Linked DNA regions of Coturnix japonica. The protein of the gene in region 1 interacts with the protein of each later gene in a pairwise test. Links are inferred from orthologs where the notes say so. Each region holds a gene or a part of one and is shown on either strand. Other genes may lie near its edges. The genes, in order: DNPEP and MPP1.

Evidence for each region.
Region 2: the proteins of DNPEP (region 1) and MPP1 interact in binary tests that used the Homo sapiens proteins (3 or more experiments, as listed by UniProt). The two-hybrid records come from large-scale screens. The link is inferred for Coturnix japonica from reciprocal best matches to the Homo sapiens genes DNPEP and MPP1.

Annotation. Positions count from the first base shown.
Region 1 is NC_029522.1:24,543,584-24,547,837, reverse strand, and holds the start of DNPEP (aspartyl aminopeptidase), read left to right. Parts: upstream 1-1,214; 5' UTR 1,215-1,236; coding exon 1,237-1,242; intron 1,243-1,358; coding exon 1,359-1,440; intron 1,441-1,511; coding exon 1,512-1,600; intron 1,601-1,683; coding exon 1,684-1,797; intron 1,798-1,979; coding exon 1,980-2,105; intron 2,106-2,214; coding exon 2,215-2,345; intron 2,346-2,583; coding exon 2,584-2,668; intron 2,669-3,129; coding exon 3,130-3,237; intron 3,238-3,469; coding exon 3,470-3,547; intron 3,548-3,850; coding exon 3,851-3,931; intron 3,932-4,188; coding exon 4,189-4,254.
Region 2 is NC_029519.1:2,078,525-2,081,318, forward strand, and holds part of MPP1 (55 kDa erythrocyte membrane protein), read right to left. Parts: intron 2,744-2,794; coding exon 2,663-2,743; intron 2,229-2,662; coding exon 2,148-2,228; intron 1,686-2,147; coding exon 1,483-1,685; intron 1,217-1,482; coding exon 1,142-1,216; intron 1-1,141. UniProt on the Homo sapiens protein: Essential regulator of neutrophil polarity. Regulates neutrophil polarization by regulating AKT1 phosphorylation through a mechanism that is independent of PIK3CG activity.

The DNA.
Region 1 (4,254 bases):
TGTTGTCACCTTCATCCATGGGGACATTGTGGGGGCACTTGTTATGGCCCAGTGAGGATGCTGGGAGACAGCCACCTCTACGCCCTGTGAGGCTGCCTGCACCCATCAGCCACATCTACTGTGACCCATGGGGATGCAGAGATGTCCATCTGTGTCACAGGCCGTGGGGATGCCCACAGCTGTCCTGGCAGCCCACAGAGATGTGGGATAACTCGCCACCCTCACGGCCCAGAAGGATGCTGTGTTGTCCATCTCCATGGCCTCGATGGCATCACCCATACCAGTGAGATGAGGCAGCTCCCGTCCCACCGCATGGCTGGTGGTTGGCGTAAGGGCGGCCGTGCGCTCAGCCTCCAGCAATGCGCGGCCGCTGACTTCACTTTCCCATGCAGCGACACGTGTCCTGGGGTGGGGGCTCGGCAGCAGTCGGGTGCCATCCCTGCTCTCATCCCGGCAGGGCGGGTGCCTGGGGGGAGAAAGGGGCGGCCCTTCCCGGAGCTTTGCGCATCCATCCTGGCCGCCTGGCCCTTAACCCCTTCCAGCGGGGCTCAGCTCCAGCCGCACGGCCCTATAGCCACGGGAAGGGGCACGGCACCCGTGGGCGCACTCAGGAGCCCCGTGGTGGGACACGAGGGTCCGTGCCGCACTGAGCGCTGCAGGGTGGGGCAGTGATGGGGCGGCAGGTGCAGGGTGAGTCAGGGAGCACCCAGGAATAGCCGCCGGCAGCTTTTCCAGGAAGCCCCTGCGGCTCTGGGAATTAGCAGCCGCGTGCCAAGGCGCTGCCCTTTGCCCACTGCAGCGGGGCCACACCCGGCCCCGCCACTCACCCCGCACCCCCGGCACCCCGATCCCATACTCATCCATTGGGGACTAAGCGAGCACCCCCTGCCCTGGGGGCCCGCAGCTGATCCACATACCCCGAGCCCCCCGAGCCCCCCGGCAGGAGGCTGCAGGCCGTGGATACGGCACGCCCTGTGTTTAGCTGTGATGGCCGCGGTTGGCATGGAGACCCCCCAGCTGTCCTCTGGCTGTGTGCCCGGCAGGGGGGCCCGTTCCTTTTTATTTTATTGAGGGGTAAGGCAGGTGCTGGGCTGGGATTCAGGGCTGCCGGGGTCACGGCAGCCGGACCACCAGTTTCCAGGCCCAGATTCCAGTTTCAATGTGCCACCAAGGTCTCGCTTTGACGGGGGGTCAGAGAGGGGGGAGAGCGGGAGGGGGGGCGGGGCGGTGGCGGCCATGCAGGTACCGGGCGGGCGGCAGCGGAGCACGGGGTTGGGGGGGGGGTTCGGTACCGGGAGGGATGGGGGGGTTCGGGGAGCGGGGCGGCTCCCGGCTGAGCCCGGTGTGGGTGCCCGCAGGCGGTGGGTCCGAAGCAGGCCGTGCAGGCGGCGGCGCAGGAGCTGGTGAGGTTCGTCAACCGCGGCCCGTCCCCGTACCATGGTAAGAGCCCCCCCCGCCGCCCCTCTACCGGCTGTAACTGAGCCAGCCGTCTGACCGGGCCTTCCCCGCAGTGGTGGCCGAGTGCCGCAGCCGCCTGCTGCAGGCCGGCTTCCAGGAGCTGAAGGAGACCGAGCACTGGGACATCCGCCCCTCCTGCAAGGTGGGACCGGGGCTGGGGGGCACGTGGGGAGCGCGGCTGTCACGTCCTGCTCCGTACACCGCCCCCCTTCCTCCTCCCCGCAGTACTTTGTCACCAGGAACTACTCCACGCTCATTGCCTTCGCCGTCGGGGGTCGCTTCCAGCCGGGGAATGGGTTCAGCCTGCTGGGGGCACACACCGACAGCCCCTGCCTCAGGGTGAGACCTTCCCGATGCCTTATTGCTCTGACATCTCCCTGTCCCCCCCTGCAGGGTGCTGACTCCCCGCATTGCTCCACTTTTGCGTTCCCCTCCCTACCAAGCACTTCAAGGCACGCTGGTGGGCTCTGGGCATGCTCTTCCCGGTCCCAATCCCTGGTGTCATCTCTGCATCCATCCAGGTGAAGCGACGCTCCAAGCGAGGGCAGGTGGGCACGGTGCAGGTTGGTGTGGAGACCTATGGAGGAGGCATCTGGAACACATGGTTTGACCGTGACCTCACTGTGGCAGGAAGGGTGATCGTCAAGGTGAGCCCGGCTGGGGGCTGTGGGGTAAAACACGCTGCTGCTCCTGCCACCTCTGAGTCCTGCAGACCTGGCCCAGTGAGGCAGCTTAATGGTCCTGCTGGTATTTCAGGAGCCAAACACAGGGCGACTGGAGCAGCGGCTGGTGTGTGTGGAACGGCCCATTCTCCGCATCCCCCATCTGGCCATCCATCTGCAGCGCAGCATCAATGAGAACTTTGGACCCAACACCGAGCACCACCTGTAAGGCCTGGCTCGATCCTCACAGCTGCAGCGGTGCCCAGCCCCTGTTCTATCCCTCATTGCAGTGGGGTGGACAACAATGGCTTCACTTATAGTGAAGGGCTTGGGGATTAGCACTGGGGTGTCCTAAGGTGGCACAGTAGGTCTGTGCTTTAAGTTTAGAGTGTCCTTGCTCCATTCAGCCAGTCCCCAAGGGGTAAGCAATGGCCTGGCAGCTGCTGACACTGTCTCCCCACAGGGTTCCCATACTGGCTACTGCTGTGCAGGAGGAGCTGGAAAAAGAACCATCCACAGAGCGCACAGCTGGCGTTGCTGCAGCCCAGGTGAGTGGGTTCCTAAGGACAAGGGGGAGGCTCACTAAGGTCTCTCACATGCCATCTTTTGATCTCTAGTCCTCAGAGCTCCCTGCCAGCAAGTTCTCGTCCTTCCCATTCACAGCTACTTGCTCTCAGCTCCACTCAGAACCACTTACACAGCACATGTGCTCCACTGTTGTCTGTTCCCACCCTAGCCTGCATTCATCCTAAAGAAAAGTGGAAATCCCCCATAAAGCTGTCATGTATGGCCCCCCCTTTTCTCTCAGAGGAGGGAGGGGAGGTTGAACAATGGGAGAGAGCCCCTCACTATGCCCTGTGAGCACCACTGCTGCCCTTTGTGGGTTGAGTGCTCAGATGCAGAGTATGTGAGTAGACAGGAAGCCTAGGACTGCAGTGTGAGGAAGGAATGGGAAAGTTTCTCTGCCATCCATCACTTTGCACTGCCCACAGCTCTGCTGTTTTCCCAGACAGAGAGACACAGCCCTGTCCTGCTTTCCCTGCTCTGCTCCCAGCTGGGAGTGAAACCAGAGCAGATTGTGGAGCTGGAATTATGCCTGGCGGATACGCAGCCAGCGGTGAGTACAACAGAGCCTCCTTCTACCTGTATGCAACATGCCTGCAGGCTGGCACTGCCCAGCTCCCATGCACAGCACGCTTCCTCTGCCTGGGGCATGCAGGGCTGGGAGCTGAACCGACTGAAAGGAAATGCCTTCTAGGGGGCAGAGGTGGGGACTGGGCTGGAGACACATCACACCTGCTCTTTGTTGTCCCCAAACCTGTGCCCTACTCCTTGTTCTTTGACTGCAGACTCTTGGTGGTGCCTTTGATGAGTTCATCTTCTCCCCACGTCTGGACAACTTGCACAGCTGCTACTGTGCTCTGCAGGTGAGAGAAGGAAGGAAGGAGCCTTGGGGCTTTGTCATGGCCCTCTTGTGTCTTGACTTAGCTTTGCTGGTCTGTTAGCTGGGTCCTGTTGCAGGGATCCTTGCTCGTCAAAGGGCCTGGGGTTGGACAGTGGCTGCCCCCTTGTGCTGGGTGTGTGGCATTCCTAGCATCTCCAATGTACCCACAGCTCCTTTCCTTGGTGCCTTAGACTTTCCTGGGGATGTTCCAGCCAGTTCAGTGCTGAGCTTCCTAGGATGGGGTGGCACTTACGCTAGTGCTCCTTCTCCTCCTCTGTCTCTCCAGGCACTGATTGACTCGTGCACAGCTCCCTCCCTCTCCCAGGAGCCCAACGTGCGCCTCATTGCACTCTATGACAACGAGGAGGTGAGGGGCATAGCCGTGGGGCAGCTGGCACACACAGGGGCTCTGTGTTCTGTTCTCCTTCCACCAATGATTAGGACTTACATCCCAGCCACCCATGGAGCACCATAGGGTTTGCTCACCCCACCCTGGGCCTGGCAGGGAGTGAGTTGGAAGCCTCTTTGCTGGGTGTGGGGAGCTTGCTATCCCTCAGCTGACATGGAGCGCTGGAGGTGGCTGGGGTGTTGCTGGGTGGGTTGTGCTGATGGTCTTCCTGGCAGGTAGGGTCAGAGAGTGCGCAGGGTGCCGAGTCCCTTCTGACAGAGCTGGTGCTGCGTCGAATCTCA
Region 2 (2,794 bases), on another chromosome or scaffold:
AGGAATCTCCCTCATGGAGCTTGAACTGCTTACAGGTCCTGCACCTAGGGGGGATGTGCTCACCGCAGTGCTGCTGGGTGTTGCTCAGCAGCTGTCAGCAGGGTGGAAGAAGGAGAGCACTAAGCAGTTTGCCTGGGTCATGTGAGCTCTGCTAAGTCACATTTTGGCACTGCTGTGTCCCCTCCAGTGAGCAGTTACCTGAGCTGCAGCAGCTTGCTATATATAGTGTGTGCAGCAGCAGGGCTGGCCCTGCCCACTGCGGCAGGAGTTAATGTTCTGGGACTGGAGGCAGTTGTTGATGGGGCACAGATTAGAGGAGAGGGCTGCCATGCTCGCCTTTCTGCCCAGAACCTCCCTACCTGCTCCATCTGGCTTTACTACACTCCACATATTGATGTGTCTCCAACCAGCTTCATGATGCTACGCAGATAGACCTTGTACCAGCTGCTGTCTGTACTGTAAACATTATGAAGCCCCCAGCTACTGGCTTGAGCCAGCCCAGCTTGCAGAGAATGCCTTGGCTGGCTTGGCATCCAGGAGGAGCACGGCTCTGGGGGTCTGCCTTCTCTCCCCTCTTCTCCTGGTGGAGGTGGTATAGCAGAGGCAGAACTGCTCTGTCTCTGGGAAACAGGATGCAGCCAAGAGCTTTGTGCTCTGTGCTGTGTGAGCTAACTGCAGCATTAGTGCTGCTTCATCCTAATTTCGGAGGGATGAGCATCTACAGGAGCTAAAGAATGAAACGCTCTGCTGTTTGTGTGTCCCATTTGCATAGCTGATGGCAGGGTATGTGTTCCTGCTCTGCAGCACTGCTGCAGCTAGAGACAGCCCTTGGTGCTGGGCTGTGCACCCAGCTACATGTTTGGGACTGATTGTGCTCCTCCAGGGATGGTGTTTGCTGGGATCTCCCTACAGTAGAGAGCCTGAGGCTGCAGGAATCCCCAAGTCCTGTTTCTTGGGTCTGGGCTGATATAGTTCCGCTGCTCTCCTGGACCACTGAAACCAGTTTGAACAAGAAGAAGCTGATTCTCTCTACAGAGCTAGGAAGAGAGCCCTGGGCTGCTACAAGGCTTTGTCCCCCGTGGGCTCCTCACCACTCCCTGCCCCATGCTGGACAGCTGCAGCCACCACTGCGCCAACCCACCTCCTCTGCCTTGTCTGTTGGGGCAATGAAGACTATGAATGGGGAGAGTTCTGCCGTGCGGACAATCTTCAGGGTCTGGAGAGAGAGCAGAGTGCAGTCATCAGAACATGGCAAGCTGGCGGGCGGCTGCCCCTACTTCCCCCAGCCAAGATTCACTGGTGCCTGTGGTGCAACAGTGGGCTGAAGGGGCTGTGGACCCCTGAGCTTGGGGGTAGGAAGGCAATGTAAGGGCAACGGTACAGCTTGGGGAAGGGCAGGTGTGTGGGGATGGTCACAGCCCACACAAGGGTTGTCCAGCCTGCAGCAGTCCCCATTCTGCCCACCACTTCCCTGCTTCATACCTGAGGTTCAATGTCTAAAATAGCGACTTTGTCCTGCTGGTGGATCTTGTGCACTGTTTCAAACTTGGTGCCAAACATGTTTCCCTGGTAGCTCCCAAACTCCAGGAACTCATTGGCTGAGATGTCCCGGGTCATCTCCTCAGTGGAAACAAAGTAGTAGTCCTTCCCATCCACCTCATTCTTCTTCTGGGGGCGCGTGGTGTCTGCAGAGGGAGAAAAATGCACGATGCCCTCAGCCAGGTGCTGACCTCCAGGAGGTCAGGGAGCCAAACTGGGGTTTTATGGACCCTTTGTGAGCATGGGGCTAGAGCAAAGAAGAGCACAGAAGACCTATGTACCTCATCAACCCCATTGGAACTCCATCCTAAACAGGACAAGTAGGCAACGTGGCCAGTGTGAGGAGAGTTGCAAGGTGCTGCACTGGGATGGGGACAGGATGTCTGCAATGTGAGCAGCAGCAGCCCAGTCATCTCTGACTAAGTTCAGCACGTGGAGTAGGAGGAAGGAAGACCCTGCAGGGCTTTGTCTGGTGCCCTGTGACACCAAAGCTTCATGGTGCTCAAAGAACATCTCCCCACCTCCCATCCCACCTGGTGACTTGAAGAGGAGGTGAGGAAATGTACAGGGGTAGTGCTGCATGCCCTCACCCGGTTGTGGTTACTTACATGGTGGAGGGTACATAAACTTCTCGGGGTTGTTGCTGAGCAGAGCATTCTTGATGTGGCTGCGACCCACTCCACTGGCCCCTACAGGGAAAGAGGGGTGGACATGAGCTGGGCTGAGGAGTGTCCAAGAGAAGGTGCAACCCTCTGTGGTGTTTTCCAGCCCTGGAGGAGGGTCTCCCTGCCCTAAGTGCACTCACAGGTGCCTGCAGGCTGGGCTGCTTAGACCAGCAACTCCACCAGAAATTGCACCCTCAGCATGGGAGTGCTGGCTTTGGTGCAGCTGCACAGACCATAAAGACATTCAAGAGCAGAAACTCTCCTGAAATTACTCCTCAGCACTAGAGTGCAGGTGCCAGACCACATGCACAGTGCCACGTGGCAGATATCACCCTTCCGGGCAATCGCTGCAGGTAGAAGAAATGCTCCCCAGTGCTTACCAGCTTTCAAAGGGCAGTGCTGTCTCAGCCCTGGTTCCCCACAGCCCCTACCACGTGCAGGACAGGGGCAGGACCTACCTATGAGCACCAGTGTCTTCCTCTTGAAGGCAGGCAGCCTCACCACCTCCTCGTATGAAACTACATCCAGCTGGTCAAAAACTGCAGTGAAGGAGAAATAAGAGTAATTAGAGCTGTCTCAGCTACAGGATA